Anolis sagrei: one gene and its partners. The protein of the gene in region 2 purifies or fractionates together with the protein of the main gene of each other region. This does not show direct contact. Links are inferred from orthologs where the notes say so. Each region holds a gene or a part of one and is shown on either strand. Other genes may lie near its edges.

Region 1 (7,681 bases), on a different chromosome or scaffold from region 2:
GGGGATATATCTCACAATTACATCTTTGTCTGGGTGGCCATCTGTCAAGAGGGTTTGGATGGTGTCTTCCTATACAGCAGGACTGGATGACCCCTGGGGATATATATCAATTACATCTGTGGCTGGATGGCCATCTCTCGAGAGGGTTTGGATAATGTCTACCTATATAACAGAATGGGCTTGGACTTGATGACCCTTGGGACACACACACACACACACACACACATATATATAGAGAGAGGGATTTTTGTCTGGATGGCCATCTATCGGGAGGGTTTGGATGGTGTCTTCCTATAGAGCAGAATGGGCTTTAGTCTTGATGACTCTTGGGGGATACACACATATCACAATAACATCTTTGGCTGGAGTTGGAAAGGCACCCCAAAGGCCATCCAGTCCAGCCCACTTTTTTTCTGCCAGGCATCATCCAAACCCTTCCAACAAATGGCCATACCAGCCACAGATGTCATTGATATCCCCCAAGGGTCATCCAGTCCAAGCCAATTTTCCTGTATAGGAAGACACCATACAAACACTCCCAACAGATGGCCATCCAGCCAAAGATGTTATTGTGATATGTGTGTATCACATCTTTGGCAGGATGGCCACCTGTCGGGAGAGTTTGTATGTTGTCTTCCAATAAAGGAGAATGGGCTTGGACTGGATGACCCTTGGGGGATATCAATGACATCTTTGGCTTGATGGCCATCTGTTGGGAGGGTTTGTATGGTGTCTTCCTATACAGCGGAATGGGCTTGGACTGGATGACCCTTGGGGGGGGGGTATACATACATACATATATATATATATATATATATATATACATATCTCAATTACATCTGTGGCTGGATGGCCATCTGCTGAGAGGATTTGGATAGTATCTTCCTATAGAGCAGTATGGGTTTGGACTTGATGACCCCTGGGGTGTGTGTGTATGTGTGTATATATATATACACACACACATATCTCAATTACATCTGTGGCTGGATGGCCATCTGTTGAGAGGGTTTGGATGGTTTCTACCTATATAGCAGAACGGGCTTGGAACGGATGACCCTTGGGGGATATCAATGACATCTTTGGCTGGATAGCCATCTGTCGGGAGGGATTTGACGGTGTCTTCCTATAGAGCAGAATGGGCTTGGCCTTGATGACCACTGGGGGGTACACGCACATACATACATATGCATCAATGACATCTGTGGGTGGATGGCCATATGTCGGGGGGGGGGGGGGTTTGAATGATGCCTGGCAGAAAAAAAGTGGGCTGGACTGGATGGCCTTTGGGGTGCCTGTATGATATAAGCATCTCTCTCTCCCTATCCAACTCAGTGACATCTTTGGCTAGATGGCCATCTGTTGGGAGGGTTTGTATGTTGTCTTCCTATATAGGAGAATGGGTTTGGACTGGATGACCCTTGGGGGATATCAATGACATCTTTGGCTGAGTGGCCATCTGTCAGGAGGGTTTGTATGGTGTCTTCCTATACAGATGAATGGCTTGGACTGGATGACCCTTGAGCGATATCAATGACATCTTTGGCTGGATGGCCATCTGTCGGGAGGGTTTGTATGGTGTCTTCCTATAGAGTAGAATGGGCTTGGACTGGATGATCCTTAGGGGATATCAATGACATCCTTGACTGGATGGCCATCTGTCGGAGGGGTTTCATGGTGTCTTTCTATAGAGTAGAATGGGCTTGGACTGGATGCCCCTTGGGGGATATCAACGACATCTTTGGCTGGATGGCCATCTGTCGGGAGGGTTTGTATGGTGTCTTCCTATAGAGTAGAATGGGCTTGGACTGGATGATCCCTGGGGGATATCAATGACATCTTTGGCTGGATGGCCATCTGTCAGGAGGGTTTGTATGTTGTCTTCCTATATAGAAGAATGGGCTTGGACTGGATGCCCCTTGGGGGATATCAATGACATCTTTGGCTGGATGGCCATCTGTCAGGAGGGTTTGTATAGTGTCTTCCTATACAGATGAATGGGTTTGGACTGGATGCCCCTTGGGGGATATCAACGACATCTTTGGCTGAATGGCCATCTGTCGGGAGGGTTTGTATGGTGTCTTCCTATAGAGTAGAATGGGCTTGGACTAGATGACCCTTGGGGGATATCAATGACATCTTTGGCTGGATGGCCATCTGTTGGGAGGGTTTGTATGGTGTCTTCCAATATAGGAGAATGGGCTTGGACTGGATGCTCCTTGGGGGATAACAACGACATCTTTGGCTGGATGGTCATCTGTCGGGAGGGTTTGGATGATGCCTGGCAGAAAAAGTGGGCTGGACTGGATGGCCTTTGGGGTGCCTCTATGAGAAAAGCATCTCTCTCTCTCTATCTCAGTGACATCTCTGGTTGGCTGGCCATCTGTCGGGAGGGTTTGGTTAGGAATGGTGGGAGCTGAAGTCCCAAACCCGCGAAGGGAAGGCCCAGGTCGTCCCAGGCCGGCTCTCGGGGCTCACCTTCGAGGAGGACCTCCCTCCCGGCGCGCTTGAGGGCCTGCACGGCCTGGTCGTGGGTGGCCTCCCGGAGGTCGACGCCGTTGACGGAGAGGATGGCGTCCCCGAGGCGCAGAGCTCCGCTCCGCTCGGCTGCCAGCCCGGGGAAGATGCGCGAGATGAGCACGGGCATGCGGTTCTCGCGCCCGCCCTTGATGCTGATGCCCAGCCCGCCGGCCTCGGCCTTGACCACCCGCACGCGGCGCACCCCCGGCGGCGGAGAAGGCAGGAGCGGCGGGGAGCCCGGCGAGGAGGGCGGAGAAGCCGAGGCGGCCCCTCGCAGCTCCGGAGAGCTGGACCCGGCCTCGCTGCGCCGCCCAACTCCGGGGCTGCCCCACTCGGAGCCGTTCGGGAGGCCGTTCAGCGGCGGCTCCGGCTCCGAGCTGAGGATCAAGGCCTCGCCGCTCAGCTCGGCCAGCGCCCGCACCCAGCAGCGCTCGCGGAGCAGCACCTCCACCAGGCCGGCCTTGCACGCCCGCGTCCACACCGCCATCGGGGGAGCCGAGCGTCGCGCGTCCTTCTCCCGCCGTAGCTCGACTCAGACTGAGCCGGCGTCTCTCAGGAGAAAGGGGAGGGGTCTCCTCGGAGATGGCCCATTGGCTGAGAGGCAAAAGAGGCGTGGCCTCTCAGGCTGAGAAAAGGGGAGGGGCCTTATCCGAAGCGTCCCATTGGATGTCAAGGAAAAGAGAGGCGGGGCATAGTTAAAAGTTGGAGGGGAGGGGAACGAAAAGGGGCGGGGCCTCCACTACAAAGTCCCAAGTGAGGGAGAGGCGGGAGGAGGAGGGAACTAAGGCTGAGAAAAGGGGCGGGGCCTCATCCACACCGTCCCATTGGGCGACAAGGAAGAGAGAGACGGGGCATAGTTAAACCCCCGCGTTGGAATGGAGGGGAAAGAAAAGGGGCGGGGCCTCCGCTACAAAGTCCCATTGGTGCCAAGTAAGGAGAGGCGGGGCCTAGTCAAACGAGGGAACCTTAAAGGGGCGGGGCTTGAGCCACAGCCTCTATTGGGTGCCACTGAAGGGAGAGGCGGGGCCTAGCCCAAAGCCCGCGTTGGAGGAGAGGGAACAGAAAAGGGGAGGAGCCGCAGCCACAGAGTCCGATTGGCTGCTAAGGAAGGGAGAGGCGGGACCTGAGTTGGAAGGGGAGGCAACCGAAAAAGGAAAAGGGGCGGGGCAACTAAGGAGGAAACCCATTGGCTGGGAGGGAAAGGAGGCGGGGTGAGAAAGAGGGAGGAGCCTCACCCTTTGGGAGGCGGGGCGATAAGAAAGGGGCGTGGTCTCCTGGAGAAGACAAGGGAGGGAAAAGAGGAAGGAGCCTCATTGGCTGTAATGCTAGAGGAGGACAATAGATGGGAGGGGCTAATTCAGAATGGGGAGGAGCAAGAGGAAAGAGGCGGGGCCTGGCTAGGTAAAGGGGCGCGGGCACATCTTAACACCTCTCAACAAAAGATTTTCCCAGGCTCAGCCAGGCCTTCAAATGCTAATGAAGGTAGTCAGTTGAAACATTCACACCTAGCTCCAGCAGGGAAGAGCTCCTTGCCCCACCCCAGCCATTTCACAGATATATAAACCCATTGTCCTATTTCCAACAGACCTCACTACCTCTGAGGATGCTTGCCATAGATGCAGGCGAAACGTCAGGAGAAATGCCTCTAGAACATGGCCCAATAGCCCGAAAAAACCCACAAGAACCTAGTGATTCCAGCCATGAAAGCCTTCGACAATACGTTTAATCTGTTTATATCAGTGTTTCTCCACCTTCCTAATGCTGCGACCCCTTAATACAGTTCCTCATGTTGTGGTGACCCCCAACCATAACATTATTTTGCTACTTCATAACTGTAATTTTGCTCCTGTTATGAATGGTAATGCAATTATCTGATAAGCAGGATGTTTTTTTCACTATATCCAATTTGGCACAAATATCCGACATGCCCAAATTTGAATAGTGGTGGGATTGGGAGGAGGGGGGATTGATTGATTTTGTTATTTGGGCGTTCGAGTTGTTGGGATTTATAGTTCACCTACAATCTGAACTCCAACAATAATTGAATTGAACCAAACTTGGCACACAGAGGCCGCCCTAGGTAATTTTGGATGGTAAGCAAACAGTAATTTGCCCCCCCCCCCCAACCAATCACTGATATATATTTTCTGTTTGTCGTGGGAGTTCTGTGTGCCATATTTGGTTCAATTCCATCATTGGTGGAATTCAGAATGCTCTTTGATTGTAGGTGAACTATACATCCCAGTAACTACAACTCACATATGTCAAGGACTATTTTCCCCCTAGAGCACCCCTGGGCAAAATCAACTATACTGCAAATGCTTACTTTGCGTAATGGTTGAGCCGCCCCTGTTGGCACACAAAACTCCCATGGCCAACAGAAAACATTGGAAGGGTTTGGTGGGCATTGACCTTGAGTCTGGAGTTGTAGTTCACCTCCAGACAGCACTGTGGACTCAAACAATGGTGGATCTGGACCAAACTCTACATGAATACTCAATATGCCCAAATGTGAACACTGGTGGAGTTTGGGGAAATATACCTTGGCATTTTGGAGTTGCAGTTGTGGGATTTATAGTTCACCTTCAATTAAAGAGCATTCTGAACCCTACAAAGTATAGAATTGGGCCAAACTTCTTATACAGAACCCCCATGACCAACAGAAAATACTGTGTTTCCTGACGGGCTTTGGCGACCCCTCTCACAGCCCCTGGTGACCCCCTCAGGGGTCCCGACCCCCAGGTTGAGAACCACTGGCTTATATGAACTAGGTGTTGCCAATATCAAGCAGGTAACAGGTAAACCCCCGGTGCCACAGTGGGTTAAAGCACCGAGCTGCTGAACTTGCTGATCAAAAGGTCACAGGTTCGAATCTGGGGAGCGGCGTGAGCTCCCGCTGTTAACCCCAGCTTCTGCTAACCTAGCAGTTTGAAAACATGCAAATGTGAGTAGATCAATAGGTACTGCTCCGGCAGGAAGGGAACAGTGCTCCATGCAGTCATGCAGGCCACATGACTTTAGAAGTGTCTACGGACAACACCAGCTCTTCAGCTTAGAAATTGGGATGAGCACCAACTCCCCAGAGTCGGACACAACTGGACTTAATGTCAGGGAAAACATTTACCATTACCTAACAGGTAAACATTATTATTATTAGAAACACAACAAGATCACTCTGCTGGCTGTTGTATTGGATCACACGTCGGACCCTTCCCAAGTGTCTAGGACTGTGTGATGTATCAGCGAATAATGCATGCAGATCCAAGTAGGGTAGCCTTTTGCAGCTGACAGATGGTAATTTTGTCAGCACTGATTGTTTTTAAGTGTAGGCCAAGGTCTTTAGGCACTGCACCCAGTGTGCCAATCACCACTGAGATCACATTTACTGGCTTGTCCAAGTCTTTGCAAAATTATTATTATTATTATTTTACTGACACAGTATGTAACAGCAAATTAGATCTATTTGCTGGATTTCATGTCACAAAATCACAAGTCGAACACTTCCCATGTGTCTAGGAATGTGTGATGCATTTACGAATGAGGCGTGCAGATCCAAGTAAGGTGGCCTTTTGCAGATCATGATTTCGTCATTTATTATTATTATTATTATTATTATTATTATTATTATTATTGTGGGATTGCTTTTTGTCCCATTGAATGTCCTCAAGTGCCTCTCAGGGCACAGAGAAGGCAGGATTTGACCCCTGATTTGATCTTTGATCTCGCAGCGTGAGGTCCAGCAGCCAGAGCTTTGCTGCTGATCCTCGGGACAAGGAGGAAACGGCCTATTTTTAATTCTGAAGGCTATGTAATCGTCCGGCCTCCTGAGGACATCTCCTTAAAGGAGGGAAGAGACACCATTTAATGCTCTTGAGCAGGAAGGGATCCCGCCTGGGCCTTGGAGCCACTTCTAAAAGAGGAAAAGTAGCATATAAATACAATTATATACCTGGTCAATTTCAAATCCTATTACTACTGTATTTCAATCTTTGTTCCACATATTTTAATATATGTATTTTATGGTAATGTGTTTTCATATGTGCATTGTATGTGTTTTATGGTGCTGCGTTTATTGTATTTATTACCCACATCATTTAATGAGGGTAATGTTCCACCATTACTTACTTACTTACTTAATTAATTAATTGAAACACAAGATTAGTACACAGCAAACAAGATCGCTCTTCTGGCTGTTTTATTGGATCATCCAAATGTCTAGGACTGTGTGATATTATCAGCGAACAATGTGTGCTAATCCCAGTAAGGTGGCCTTTTGCAGATGGCAGATAATGATTTTGTGAGCTCCAATTGTGCTTAAGTGCAGGCCAAGGTCTTTAGGCACTGCACCCAGTGTGCCAATCACCAGTGGGACCACCTTGACTGGCTTGTGCCAGTCTTTGCAGTTTGATCTTTAAATCCTCGTTTTGTGTCAGCTTTTCCAGTTGTTTCTCTTCAATCCTGCTGTCGCCTGGGATTACAACATCGACGATCCATACTTGTGAGGTCAGGAGTATTATTATTATTATTACTGGGCCCCTGGCGGCGCAGTGGGTTAAACCCTTGTGCCAGCAGGAGTGCTGACTGACAGGTCAGAGGTTCGAATCCCTGGGAGAGTGGGTTGAGCTCTCTCTGTCAGCTCCAGCTCTCCAAGCCTCCCACAAGGATGGTTAAACATCAAAACATCCTGGCGTTCCCCTGGACAACGTCCTCCTCCTCCTCCTCCTCCTTAAAACACAGAACATGTCACTTTTTTTAAAAAAAAAATGAAATTTCAAAAACACATAATGCAAATAGTAACACTTAAAAGTAAAATCACTCAAACCTATTGCTATTTTTATTATATGCATTTATACCTTGCTTTATTTCCCGCGAAGGTGACTCAGTGCCCTTCCAGAAAGGCCCTATATCCTAGGATCTGATCCCAAGTTTTCTGCTTTAAATTGGATTATATGTGTCCAAACTGCCAGAGAATCTGGGATAAACAGAAAACCTGGGATCAGATCCTCAGATATAGGGCCTGTCTGGAAGGGCCCTCAAAGTGGCGATTAAAATAATAAAAATCCCATTATTATTATTATTATTATTATTATTATTATTATTTGAAACACAACAAGATGAGTCTACAGCAGACACTCTGTTGGCTGTTGTATTGGATCACACGTTG
Region 2 (7,297 bases):
TCCACATGGAAGGCTGAAAAAGTGACATCTTTGTGTTCTGGTGGTTTTATGCACACAAACTTAGTTTCATGCACAGCATTATTAAAAATATTGTTTGAAGTTACCTTCAGGCTATGTGAACATGGTATATATGAAATATAAATGAATTCTGTGTGTAGACTTGAATTTCATCTCCAGGATATCTCATGTACATACAATATATACAATTGTAAATATTCCAAAATCTGAAAATATAAAAAATTCAAAACACTTCTAGTTGTACGCATTTCATATAAAGGATATTGACCCTGTATTACCAACAATAGTAGGGACCAACAACATAATTATATTTCCAAACAAACCAATAGGAATTTCTTACTGATGTAGATATGATTCTGACTAAATGTTGCCATGTATACAAACATTGCTCTAATAGCCAGAATTTTAAAAATGATTGAAACTGGGAAGAACCTGGAACACAAAAAACATAAAGCATTTTTAAAAGCAGGAGTTTGGCAAAGGATGTTAACAAGATCACATGTATCCAACTTCAGCTACATGAAATTACATCTTTGGAAGAAATATTACAACAATCTTGCTACAAAATATTTCTCTCATACACCCTCTTGCAGTAACAAGTCATTTTTCATTCTGAATGTAACAATCATAGCAGAAACAACCAAAAATGTTTTCCTTAACATTTATTTGCCCTTACAAAATCATAATGGCAACAAACTCACTTAACTGCCAAAACATCTTCAGATGGATACAAGGTAAAGTTATTCAGCTACTAAAGTGATACAGTAGATGTCTACTACAATTTTTATTCTAGCACAAAGAGTCCCAGATCTCCCACTATGATACAGTTATTGGGGAAGACAAAAAACAAAAACAAAAACCTCTGCTTTCATCTCCTTCAATTACCAAGCTTATTTGGTTTCCCTCTCCAAGACAAACCACTTGGCCTGGCATTTTCAAACCGCCTGTCAAACTGGACACTCCAGGTAGCCTGAGTGGCAGTTCAGCCAACCACCCTTGCAACTTTAGTTTTCTGCAAAAGTGGTTGTTGCCTTTGAAAGGCCTTCCAGCTTTATCCCAACTGGGGGTGCATCTGCATAGTGTAACTGATGCAGTTTGACAACACTTTAACAGCCATGGCTCGATGCTATGGAATTATGGGAGTTGTCACCTTACAAGGTCTTTAGCCTTCTCTAGTCACTCGCCAAACTACAACTCCCACAACTCCATAGCGTTCTGCCATGACAGTTAAAGTGGTGTCAAAGGGAGCTTCCACATAGCTGAATAAAATCCCACATTATCTGCTTTGAACTGGAATAAATGGCAGTGTGGGCTCAGGGCCCTTCCACATAGCCATATAATCCAGAATATCAAGGCAGAAAATCCCAGAATACTTTAACTGGGTTATCTGAGGCCCCTTCCACAAAGCCCTGTATTCCAGAATATCAAGGTAAAAAAATCCCACAATATCTGAGTGTGGACTCAGATAACCCAGTTCAAAGCAGATATTGTGAGATTTTCTGCCTTGATATTCTTGGATATAGGGCTGTGTTGAAGGTCCCTGTGTCCACACTGCCATATATCTCAGAGAGATGTGGGATTTTATTCAGTTGTGTGGAAAGGGCCCAAGATAACCCAGGGTCCTTCCACATGGCCCTATATCCCAGAATACCAAAGCAGAAAATCCCACATTATCTGAGTGTGTACTCAGATAACCCAGTTCAAAACAGATATTCTGGGATATAGGGTTGTGTGGAAGGGCCCCTAGTTCAAAGCAGATATTGTGGGATTTTCTGCCTTGATGTTCTGGGTTACATGGCTGTGTGGAAAGGCCCAAAGTGTGTCACCTCTACAGTGTGTATGTATCCACGGTGGGGATGGGAAAAAAAGCACCCGAGTATTACCTGAGTGTCCTTTATATCGCCGCTAACGAGCCGGTTTGATGATGCAGCAGCGCCCAAGGAAGGCACCTGGCATTGGTAGGAGGGAGGGAGGGAGGGAAGGAGAGCGAGGGGGAGGGGAGCCGAGGAGGAGAAACACACCCCGTCCCTGCCTTGTCTACCTTGTAGGAGAGAGAGAGAGAGAGAGGAGGAGAAGCCCCGCTTTGCTGCAGGAGCCCCGTTTAATCATGGTGGCCGGAGGAGGGGGGAGAGAGGAGAGGGCTCCCTTTCCCCAGGTGGGAAGAGCCCCGAGCGGTTCCCGAGGATCCTTCCTTCCTTGCCCCCCTCCCCCCGCGCGGTCGGGGAGGAGGCTTTGCAGCCCACCGCCGCTCCTCCCTCCGCGGCTGCCTCCTCCATCTCCCCTCCATGGGTGCCTCTGCTACTTACTTGCCGATCACCTCGCAGAGCTCGTAAACGTCCTCGAAGAGCACATCGTCGTCGGCCATGGTCCGGCGGGGGGGAGGCGAGCCGCCCCAGGGCGGGAGGGGCCGCGGGCACGGTCCCCCTCCTCCTCTTCCCCCTCCTCCTCCGCGCTCCCCGCCGCCGCCGCCGCGCTAAAATCCCGGCCAAATCCTCCAATGGCCGCGCTAGGAAAAGCCCCCCTCGGTGGCCGCTCCTTGCGGTGGGCCGCAGCCTTTCCCCGCGTGTCCCTCACAATTCCCGGCGTCGTCGTCTTCTTCCTTCTTCTTCGCCTTCCTTCTTCTCACCTTTGGCCGCCGGGGATTAATCCATGGAGGGGATGGAGACGGAGGATGAAACCGCGGCAGGCAGGCAGGCAGAGCGAGCCCCTCATTCGCTCCCTTCCCCCGCTTCTTGTCCACACACACACACACACACACACTCACTCCCTCCCTCAGTCACTCACACACTCGCTCCCTCCCTCCTCGAAACGAGAGAGAGAGAGAGAGAGCGCGCGCCCAGGCGAAGAGAAAGGCGCGGCTCCGTCCACGCGCCACCCCAACGCCGTTTGATGAAGGGAGAAACACAGAGGGAGACAGGGTGCGTGCGCGCGCGCCTGCGCGTCACCGCCGCGGCCGCCGACACCTTTCTTATCAGTCACGCAACCGCCCAGAGCCAAGCATGCGCGCGCATCCTCCCTTTACGTTAGAACGCGCGCTCTCGCGCTCAGGGCTAAGTTGGGGAGGGGAGCAGAGCTGGCTTTTTTTTTTTCCTTCCTCCTCCTCCCTCCTCCCTGCTCCGAGCAAAGCCACGCCCACAACTCCCCTCACGGGGAAACGGCGAAGAGTTTGTACTGCGCAGGCGCGGGGGTTGTTGACGTCATTTGAACGGGGAAAGGGAAAAGGAGAAGGTTTTCCTTGCGGTCGGAGAGACTAGCGGCAATGCTGGGGCTGAGAAACGGCAGGGCACATAGGCATTGCGTTGAAGCTCCTCTTTAGTGTCCGACAGACTTCACAATCTGAGGATGCCTGCCATAGATGCAGGCGAAACGTCAGGAGAGAATGCTTCTGGAACATGGCCATACAGCTCGAAAAACTTACAGCAACCCAGTGATTCCGGCCATGAAAGCCTTCGACAACTCATTCTCCTCTTTAGCCTTTTTTCTTTTCTGGATATAGCCATATTTGAATCGCCTGAGGGCTGAGAAAAGCGGTATAGAAATAAAGTAAATAAATATTGCACATAGTAGATTGACACTGAGCGGTGTCAAACGGCTATTATTCATTTTGTCAAAGGCTTTCATGGCTGGAATCACTAGGTTCTTGTGGTTTTTATTGGGCTATATGGCCATGTTCTATTTATTATTTATTTATTATTTATTTACTGTGCTTATATAGCGCTGTTCTCAGCCCGGGGGCGACTCACAGCGGTGTACAACATAGAGAGGACAGGGTGCAAATTACAAGACACAATCTAAAATCAATCCAGCAATAACAAAAGCATCGTCATCAACAACATCAACAACATCAATATCAATAATACAAAAAGCCATTCGCATAATCTCATCGTTACACCACAATCCAGTATTATATTCCGTCGTTCCATTCCTGTCGTCATTACCAATTATTGGATTTCTTGTTCGAACGCCTTCTTGAACAGCCACGTCTTTAATTTCCTGCGGAATATCATCGGAAGGGGCCAATCTGATGTCCACGGGAAGGGTGTTCCACAGCCGAGGAGCCACCACCGAGAAGGCCCTATCTCTCGTCCCCACCAGGCGTGCCTGTGAGGCAGGCGAGATTGAGAGCAGGGCCTCCCCGGATGATCTCAAAGTCCTCGTGGGCTTATAGGCCAAGATGCGGTCAGAGGATGCTTGCCATAGATGCAGGCGAAATGTCAGGAGAAATGCCTCTAGAACATGGCCATATAGCCTGAAAAAACCCACAAGAACCTTATTATTCATTTATTTATTTACTTACTGCATTTATATGCCGCCCTTCTCACCCTGAAGGGGACTCAGAGCGGCTTACAAGATATATATATATATATATATATATATATATATACACACACACACACACACACACAAACAATATGTTATATTATTAAAACAGCACTATCAGTGTTACATATTACTATATTGTACTATACCATTATATTGTAATATTATTAGTAATATTACATGTAATATAAAATATATAATTATAATATTGCATTATTAGTAGTATTATATTGTATTACATTATAGTGTTATAAATATTATATGTATATACAATATATTATCTAATCCAGGTGAAAGAAGAAAGTACAAAGGCTTGGTTGCAGTTAAACATAAAAAAACCAAGATTATGGCAACCGGACTGATTGATAACTGGCAAATAGAGGGAGAAAACATGGAGGCTGTGACATACTTTGTATTTCTAAGTGCAAAGATTACTGCAGACGCAGACTGCAGCCAGGAAATCAGGAGACGCTTCTTGGGAGGAGAGCAATGACCAATCTCGATAAAATAGTGTTTTGGACTATAAGCGGCTGAGGGGGCAAAGGAAAGGGCCTGAGGCTGTGAGGAATGGTGGGAGTTGAAGTCCAAAACACCTGGAGGGCCCAAGTTTGCCCTTGCCTGATCTACACTGACAATATAATGCAGTTCCAAACTGCATTATATGACAGTGTGCATCCAGTGTGCATCCAGCCTATACTTGACAGTGTGCATCCAGCCTGTGCTTGACGTGGTTACACTCCCCCTGAAGGCGCAGATTTGCAGCTTGGGAGTGATCCTGGACTCATTGCTGAGCCTGGAACCCCAGGTCTCGGTGGTGGTCAGGGGAGCTTTTGCACAATTAAAACTTGTGCGCCAGCTGGGCCCGTACCTTGGGAAGTCTGACTTGGCCACAGTGGTCCACGCTCTGGTAACATCCCGTATATACTACTGCAATGCTCTCTACGTGGAGTTGCCTCTGAAGACTGCCCGGAAGCTGCAATTAGTCCAAAGAGCGGCAGCCAGATTACTAACAGGAGCGTGGTACAGGGAGTACACTACTCCTCTGTTGCGTCAGCTCCATTGGCTGCCAATTAGTTTCCAAGCGCAATTCAAAGTGCTGGTTTTGATTTATAAATCCCTAAACGGCTACGACCCAGTTTACCTGTCCGAACGGATTCTCCCCTACGAACTATCAAGGTTGTTAAGATCTTCTGGAGGGGCCCTGCTCTCGGTCCCACCACCTTTGCAATCGTGTCTGGTGGGGACGAGAGACAGGGTCTTCTCGGTGGTGGCCCCTTGGCTGTGGAACTCTCTCCTGATGGAGATTAGATCTGCCCCTTCCCTCCTGACTTTCAGAAAGCTAGTGAAATCCTGGCTCTGGGGCAAAGCATTCTCAGAATGATTGGCGTCAACAATAACCTAATAACTACTGACCACACTGGCGGACTATGATGAATGTGATTTTATCTTGTCGATTTGGCTTTATGTATTTATTCTGTTGCTATTTTACTGTATTATGATGTTATGATGTTATTAGTTTACTTGTGTATGCATTTTCTGTTAGCCGGCCTGAGTTCCTCTGCGGAGGTTGAGAAGACTGGGATATAAAAGTTCTGAATAAATAAATAAATAATAAATAATAAACCCTGTTTGGGCAGGCATGTATACCAAAAATACATGGAAGGAATGTAAAAGATAGTGGAAATGCAAAACATGTAGTAGCAATATCTGTCAATGCAAAACATGTTGGAATGGTGACAACTACCGGTTTAACAATGATTGTGATGAGTAGTTGAAAGGACATAGTTGGGAGTCAGGTTTTGCTCAGATAAACACATGTAGACCGGAGGAATGGCTTTTACCTAGTGAGTTGGTATGTGTGCAGGGCCTGTAAAATCTTGTCATAAAACAGGTGTGAGGAGAGTATCTTTGCATATGTATGGCTGTGATGAAAGCTGTAATGTTTTAATATATGTAGTGTGTCAACAAACCATTGTTTATGGCTTGGAATTTATTGATACATCCTAATTCAGCAGTTCTGCCCATTGGAGAGAAGGATAGTAGAGGCAAAGATGAAGTACTTTGGCCACATCATGAGAAGAAAGGAAAGCTTAGAGAAGACAATTATGTTGGAAAAAATGGAAGGAAAAAGCAAGAGGGGCTGACCAAGGGCAAGATGGATGGATGGCATCCTTGAAGTGACTGGATTGACCTTGAAGGAGCTGGGGGTGGTGACAGCCAACAGGGAGCTCTGGCATGGGCTGGTCCATGAGGTCACAAAGAGTTGGAAATGACTGAACGAATAAACAACAACAAATTCAGCGGTTTCTCTTTCCAGGCTTCTTTTAGTTTTTATGCACTGCACAAATTGTCCAAGCAGGTTGAAATGCTCTGCAACTGGTATATTTTTGTAGTTTATTGTTTCCATTTCTAATATCAGATATACTGTATTTACTTGAGTATAATGTGCCGTCGAATTTAATGCACACCTCAATGATTTTCAGTCGAATATAATGCACCCAGCAGTAAAGGCATAGTGAGTCAGGAAGGCAGTCAGCATGAATGAGGCCATTTGGGAAGCTATGTCTCTGTCAGGCCAAGGCTGGTGAACTCTTCAGCCTCACACAGTTCCCAAACGGCCTCATTCTCAAGGCCTTCAAAACCAAGGGGGAGGTTTTGAAGGCCCTGGGAATGAGGCTATTTAGGAAACGTGGGGCTGAGTCTCAGGGGAACAGGCAAGAGCTTCCAAGGGTAATTTGAGAAGCAGGTTGCTTACTTCTCCTTTGGCCACAGTGGCCTGAAAGCTGCACAGCCGCTCTGTGGCTAAGGGACTGGGTCACTATTTGGCTGCACATCCTTCTCCAGGCACCACGGAGCTCTGAGGCCACCCCCAGGAACAGCCTTTTAGAGTCCTTCCACACAGCCCTATATCCCAGAATATCAAGGCAGAAAATCCCACATTATCGGAGTGTGAACTCAG
Region 3 (7,085 bases), about 170 Mb from region 2:
CACTGAAATCCACAAGCATGTAGACAATTTCAACAGGAAGGAAGAAATCATGAAAATGAACAAAATATGGCTACCAGTATTTAAAAAAACCTCTAAAATCAGGACAGTAAATAGACAGCAACACTCAAAAAGCAGGGAAATTCCAGGCAAGAATCAATCAGGGTCAGCTTACGCCTCCCAAAAAAGGATTTGCCCAGGCAGGGAGCAGCCAGTTTTTGAAGCTACGAGGCTATTCAATGCTAATCAAGGTGGCCAATTGCAACATTCAAACTTGACTCAGGCAGACAAGAGTTCTTTTTCCCATTATGGACATTACACAGATATATAAACACCCTTGCTTTATTGCAGTGCATGAGCACACACTGTAATAAATCTTGGTAGTCTTTTACGTAATTCAAAACTCTGCTGTATAGACTTTGTATTGTAAGGTATATTGGATGATCTTGCTGAGGATCCAATGAGCAATTCTCTATGCCAGGCATGGGAAACCTTTGGCCCTCCAGGTGTTTCAGACTTCAACTCCCACAATTCCTAACAGCTTCATGCCCTTTCCTTTTCACCAGACCTCACTGGATGCCTGCCATAGTTGCGGGCAAAACGTCAAGTGAGAATGCTTCTGGAACATGGTCATGAAGCCAGGAAAACTCACAGCAACCCAGTGATTCTGGCCATGAAAGCCTTTGACAATACATTGGATTGTGATTGCTTATTTTACACCAGAGTCCTTTTCCACTCTGGGTTTATGATCTGAAGCCTTGGAGAAGAAACAGGCAACCTCAATTTTTTTAAAAGGGGGAAAATGCTACCTTCTGCGCCCATCCTCCTCTTGGCTCTCTTGTTGAACATCAAGAAAACCAAAGTGCTCTTCCAGCAGTCACCAGCCGATCCCTCTCCAATGCCAAAAATACAGCTTAATGGTGTAACATTAGAAAATGTTTACCATTTCCACTATCTTGGCAGCCACCTCTCCACCAAAGTCAACATTGACACTGAAATACAACACCACCTGAGCTCTGCAAGTGCAGCATTTTTCTGAATGAAGGAGAGTGTGTTTGAGGACCAGGACATCCATATGGGCGACCAAGGTGCTTGTTTATGAAGCCATTGTCCTCCCAACCCTGCTATATGCCTGCAAAATGTGGACTGTCTACAGACATCATATGCAACTCCTGGAATGTTTCCATCAGCGCTGCCTCCGAAAAATCCTGCAAATCTCTTGGGAAGACAGGTGGACAAATGTCAGCATGCTGGAAGAAACAAAGACCACCAGCACTGAAGTGATGCTTCTCCATCATCAACTCCGCTGGACTGGCCGCATTGTCCGAATGCCTGATCACCATCTCCCAAAGCAACTCTGAACTCAAGAAGGAAAAGGATCTCTTCGATCTTCTGGAGAGGCCCTCCTTTCACCCCTTCCTCTATCACATGCACGACTTGTGGGAACGAGGGAGAGAGCCATCTCCGCAGTGCCCTCTCCCCCCCCCCCCCCCAGATCTAGAACTCGCTGCCTTGTGAAATTAGGCAAGTCCCCACCCTAGCAGCCTTTAAGAAAGATCTAAAAACTTGGCTCTTCCAATGTGCCTTCGGAGAGTGACCATACAACCCATTTTGTTTGTTTCCATCTACAGTTGTCCTCATGATGCACTTTCCCCTGTCCTTAATAAAGGCCAAACCCCACTGCTCCTCCTTCTTGGGCTCTTCCCTCACAAATACACTTTTTAATACACTTTTTTATTCCTATCTCACCCAGGATTTTAACATTTTATCTCGTGCATTTGGCCCGGCCTTTGTGTTTGATTTTATTATGTTATTTCATGTATTTTGTTGTGATGTAATTTTTCTGTTGTTTTGTGTCTAACTTTGCTGTATTATTTTTGGGGCTTGGCCTCATGTTAGCCACCCCTTTAAAGGAGATTTAAAGATGGGCTTAAAACCAACCTTAAAAACTGTGGCATAGACACTGAGAACTGGGAAGCCCTGGCCCTTGAGCATTCTAACTGGAGGTCAGCTGTGACCAGCAGTCCTGCAGAATTCAAAGAGGGACGAATGGAGGGCGAAAGAGAGAAACGTGCCATGAGGAAGGGACGTCAAGCCAACCCTGACCAGGACCACCTTCCATGTGGAAACCGATGTCCTTACTGCAGAAGAACATGCGCATCAAGAATAGGACTCCACAGCCACCTACGAACCCACCGCCAAGATACTACACTTGGAGGACCACCAACCTCGAGCTACGAGGGATCACGTAACAACAACATAGCCTCTTGGCTGCATAGCAATTCCCATGCTCAATGTATTATCGAAGGTCTTCATGGCAGGAGTCACTGGGTTGTTGTAGGTTTTCGGGTTGTATGGCCATGTTCTAGAAGCATTGTCTCCTGACGTTTTGCCTACATCTATGGCAGCCATCCTCAGAGGATATTAGGTCTGTTGGAAACTAGGAAAATTGGAGAGAATGCTTCTACAACGACTCAATTCCCATGCTCTTTCCCAACGGCATCCAAAGCCTTTTCCCTGCGCCTGCCTATTGAGCATTTCCACACCACGGCCTCCCTCCTCAGACCTTGAGGGCTCCTCCCGCGGAGAAGGTGTTTGGGGTGGGAAAGAAAGGGCTTGCGTTGCATCGCCTTCTCCCTTTGATGAACTGTTGCTACTTGTAACAAAACTTTCCAACAGAGAGGGCAAGAGAGGGCAGCATCCAGAGAGAGGGGAACTTTGTCCCGGGCAACCTTTCTTCTCTCCCGTCTTTGGCAGAGAGAGCTCGAACTCACCTCATTTCAAGCGCGCGCCCGCTTCACTCCGGGAGGAATCGGGAGGCGTCGGAAGGAGTCGGAAGGAACCCCCTCCCCTTTGCCCAAAGCTCCCACTCGCCCTCCTCGCCAAGCTTTGGTCTTTCGGGCGAGGAGGGCGTCGCAGTGGCCTTCCGTCTTTCCCAAGGCGGCTTCTGCTCCGGGACGCACCGGCCGGCCGCTCCCGCTTCCTCTGGGCCAGCCTCCCTCCTGGTGCCCCAGCCCCGCCTTCCCAGCCAGGCAGGCCAAGCCCCTCCCTCGAAGTCCTGCCCATCGGACGAAGAGAAGGGGCCAGGCCTGGACCCTTTCAATGCCCAGGTTATGGAATTTAGGCAGCTTGACAACACTTCCACTGCTCCAGGGTCGTAGTTTGGTGAGGCAATGGCATGCTTTAGCAGACCAGGCATGGGCCAACTTCGGCCCTCCCTCCAGGTGTTTTGGACTTCCAACTCCCACAATTCCTAACAGCCTACAGGCTGTTAGGAATTGTTGGAGTTGGAAGTCCAAAACACCTGGAGGGAGGGCCGAAGTTGGCCCATGCCTGGTCTGCTAAAGGTAAAAGAGTTTCCCCCTGACATAAAGTTAACTCTGGGTTTTGGTGCTCATCTCCATTTCTATGCCGAAGAGCCGGCGTTGTCCATAGACGCCTCCAAGGTCATGTGGCCTGCACGACTGCATGGAGCACCCTTACCTTCCCACTGATCTACTCACATTTGCGTGTTTCAAACTGCTAGGTTGGCAGAAGCTGGGGCTAACAGTGGGAGCTCAGCCCACTCCACAGATTCTTTTTTTTTTTTTTTGCATAATATTTATTGTGAGTTTTTCCTTTAACAATGAAAGAGGGGGAACAGTCAGGGTGACAGGAAAGTAGGAAATTGGAAGAGAGATAGGGTAATGGAGGAAGGGGAAGGGGTTTGGTTGGGGGAGTCAAAATCGAGAGGATCAAAGCACCAGTGTAAAAAAGAAAATTAAGGAGAGAGAGAAAAAAGAAAGCAAAAAGGGTATATATTAATGACTTCCAGTTTAGTCCACAGAGGTACGATCATTAAATTGTATAAGTCTTCTTATGGTCTCCTTCGTTCTATGTTCAATTTAACTCATAGTACCAAATGTTATATATTGAGTTTGATTTTTTCTCCTAGGTATTCTCTTAGTTGGTTCCAGTTTATTTGCTTTTCCTTACTCTGTTCCTTCAGTAGGTAAGAAAGTCTATCCAAGTCCATAAATTCAACTCCTCAGATTCGAACCTGTAACCTTTCAATCAACAAGTCCTCAGAAGCACTTTAACTCCTCGTTGGATTGCTCTCCCTACACTATCCTTTAAAACCCTCCTGCTTAGATACATCCAACCTCTGTTCACACCCAGTGTATATTTTAAAATTTTAATCTATTCAATCTGGCCCAGCCATAGGTTTTAAATTTTTGTGTGTTATTGCCTATTTATTTATTTATTTATTTACTATATTTGTATACTGCCCCTCTCAGCCCAAAGGTGACTCGAGTTATATTAATTGAATTGTTTTATTTGCTTACTGCTTTGTTGTTTTATTGATGTGTTGTTGGGCTTGGCCTCATGTAAACCGTCCCAAGTCCCCTTGGGGGGATGGTGGCAGGTATAAATAAAGTTTTATTGTTGTTGTTGTTGTTATTATTATTATTATTCAGCAGTTCAGCGGTTTAACCCATTGTGCCACCAGGGGCTCATGCCTGGTATAGATGCCAAAAAGTACAGGCAGTCCCCAATATAGGTTCTTAAGTTGGATTTGTATGTAAGCCAGAACAGGTACATTTTTAAAGTGTAACTAGCTTTGGATTGCACAGGGAAGGATTAACACCCCTGTGGTGTTTTTCTTGCGATCTGTACCCCTGTTCAGAAGATTTCACCTCACTTTCTGCCCCTATAAGAATTGGATATTGAAAAAAATGATGTGTGGAAGCAAGGATTGGCAAGAAAGCTTCAACTGGGGCACCTTTTCTCCATGATAACTCTCTCAGGAGTCTTTTCCTTAGGCAAGGGATCTTCAAGAGGTGGCCTTGCCACTTTTTCCCCTCTGAAATATACCCACAGTGCCTGGTATTTTTTGGAGGTCTCTCATCCAAGTACTAACTTAGTTTTGAAGATCAGATGGGATCTGGTTACTTTGGCATTTCTATACCATATTATAACATTGTACCTAAAATATCAGGAAATTTCAAGAGTGAATTTCCCTTTCTGAGGAGTAAATTTCTCTCACTTCCTGGTATCTCACCAATGTGGCCCCTTCCACACAGCTGTATAAAATTCACATTGAACTGGATTATATGGCAGTGTGGACTTAAATAATCCAGTTCAAAGCAGATATTGTGGATTGTCTGCCTTTATATTCTGGGTTATATGGCTGTGGAAGAGCCCTGTGTTGTTTTTAAGATGGATGTTTGTAACTTGGGGACTTCCTGTATAGAACACACAGGATGGCCCCCTTCCCTGGGTTTATCGGTCTTGACAGGGTTGGTGCCACTCTACGTTGTTACGCATGGTGTCAGCAACATAGACCTCTGCTGGCTTCAAGTCATGGCAATCCCATTGATTTAATGGGATTTTCTTTAGCAAGGGATATTCAAGCGGTGGCTTTGCCACTTTTTTTCCTCTGAATTATACCAACAACACCTGGTATTTGTTGGTGGCCTCCCGTCCAAGTACCAACTTAGTTTTGAAGATTAGATAGAATGTAGTGCCTTTAGAGTACTTTGTACCTAACATTGTACCTAAAATATTTTTGTACCTATAACATTGTACCTAAAATATTAGGAAAATTGAGAAACACATTGATTTCCCCCCTACCCTTGTTTTATGGTTCTTAACTGTGACGCCACCAGGAATGGTGCCACACAGTGTAGTAATGCAAGTTGTCATCCTCCTGAACCATCTCCTGAATCATTTCATGTGTTCCTTCAAATACTTCATCACTTAGTGGTTCTCAACCTGGGGGCCCCAGATGTTTTTGGCCTTCAACTCCCAGAAATCCTAACAGCTGGTAAAATGGCTGGGATTTCTAGGAATTGTAGGCCAAAAACATCTGGGGACCCCAGGCTGAGAACCACTGCATGATTAGAGGAGGAATCCACTTTAAATCCGGTTTCTGCCTCCTGCAGAATTCTGAAGTTTGTAGTTTAGTGAGGCTGTTAAAGGCTCCCCCCTAAACTACAAACCCCAGAATTCTCAGGAGGCAATATCCGGATTTAAAGTGGATTCATTCTCTAGTGTGATTAGGTCGCAAGTCATCTGTTGAGTTATGGTGATCACATGAATTTCATGAGGTTGTCATAGTCAACAGATACTCAGAGGTGGTCTGAAATACAGCAACTGGCCTTCATTGGGTATCTCCCATTCAAGTACTAACCAGGCTGGCTCTACTTAGCTTCCGAGTTTGCATGGGATCTTGTGTCTTTAGGGTACTGTACCAAACCAGAATATTGTAGCTAAAATAATAGGACATTTAGCAAAATCAGTGAGTTAATGTTTTTATATGCGCATGTGTTTTATTTTATTGTATTTTGTATTGTGCTTCATTTTAATGTTTGGTGGTGGGATATCAGAATAAAGTAATTATTATTATATGTTAAAAAAAATAAACAGCAGCAACAAAAACAACAATATGCCTGTGGTGCTTGCAGATGAAACCATATGATTTGAAGTTTTGTTGTCACAGGATGATAATAACAAGTCTGTCTGGAGCACGTGCCCATTAGATTAAAGAGTTCAAAAAGTTAATTAGCATGAAGTATTCACATATACTTATATAGTATGCAGTACAGGTAAGGTGGACTTATGAAACCTGTTTTTTTGTGCTTAAATTTAACTGCCAGCATATTTTTATATAAACAAATAAATTTCTACTGAGATATCACACACAAATGTTATGTCATTTGGTGTCACTCCCAGGGCACCATGCAGTGTAGTTTGAACCCTGTACACCTCCTAATCTGAGTTTTTGGCAGATGTAATTTAGCAGGGAAGGGACCTGCTGCTGCCTCGTACTTGGAACCAAGGCTCTGGAAAGAGAATAAAATATGAAAGGGGAAGCTTAAAAAGGGGATCTTTACTTTGTGGGGGCCAGGACTAATAGTTCATGCTCTTCCCTCCTTCACAGGCCTCAGGACTTGACAACAGTGCATCCTGAACAGGGGTGGTGCAACCCATTACGCAAAGTAAGCATTTGCAGTATAGTTGATTTTGTCCAGGGGCACTCTTGAGGTACTCTTGGGGGAAAATAGACCTTGACATATGTGAGTTGTAGTTACTGGGATGTATAGTTC

The links.
Region 1: the proteins of CASK (region 2) and SNTB2 purify together in Homo sapiens (affinity purification with mass spectrometry; 3 studies listed by BioGRID and IntAct, with this or other methods). This does not show direct contact. The link is inferred for Anolis sagrei from reciprocal best matches to the Homo sapiens genes CASK and SNTB2.
Region 3: the proteins of CASK (region 2) and ARHGEF26 purify together in Homo sapiens (affinity purification with mass spectrometry; 3 studies listed by BioGRID and IntAct, with this or other methods). This does not show direct contact. The link is inferred for Anolis sagrei from reciprocal best matches to the Homo sapiens genes CASK and ARHGEF26.

What each region holds. Positions count from the first base shown.
Region 1 is NC_090028.1:28,607,794-28,615,474, reverse strand, and holds the start of SNTB2 (beta-2-syntrophin), read right to left. Parts: upstream 3,048-7,681; 5' UTR 3,005-3,047; coding exon 2,476-3,004; intron 1-2,475. UniProt on the Homo sapiens protein: Adapter protein that binds to and probably organizes the subcellular localization of a variety of membrane proteins. May link various receptors to the actin cytoskeleton and the dystrophin glycoprotein complex.
Region 2 is NC_090023.1:77,991,292-77,998,588, reverse strand, and holds the start of CASK (peripheral plasma membrane protein CASK), read right to left. Parts: upstream 3,005-7,297; 5' UTR 2,384-3,004; coding exon 2,325-2,383; intron 1,949-2,324; exon of another isoform or gene 1,902-1,948; intron 1-1,901. UniProt on the Homo sapiens protein: Multidomain scaffolding Mg(2+)-independent protein kinase that catalyzes the phosphotransfer from ATP to proteins such as NRXN1, and plays a role in synaptic transmembrane protein anchoring and ion channel trafficking.
Region 3 is NC_090023.1:243,005,409-243,012,493, reverse strand, and holds the start of ARHGEF26 (rho guanine nucleotide exchange factor 26), read right to left. Parts: upstream 3,004-7,085; 5' UTR 2,777-3,003; coding exon 2,772-2,776; intron 1-2,771. UniProt on the Homo sapiens protein: Activates RhoG GTPase by promoting the exchange of GDP by GTP. Required for the formation of membrane ruffles during macropinocytosis. Required for the formation of cup-like structures during trans-endothelial migration of leukocytes.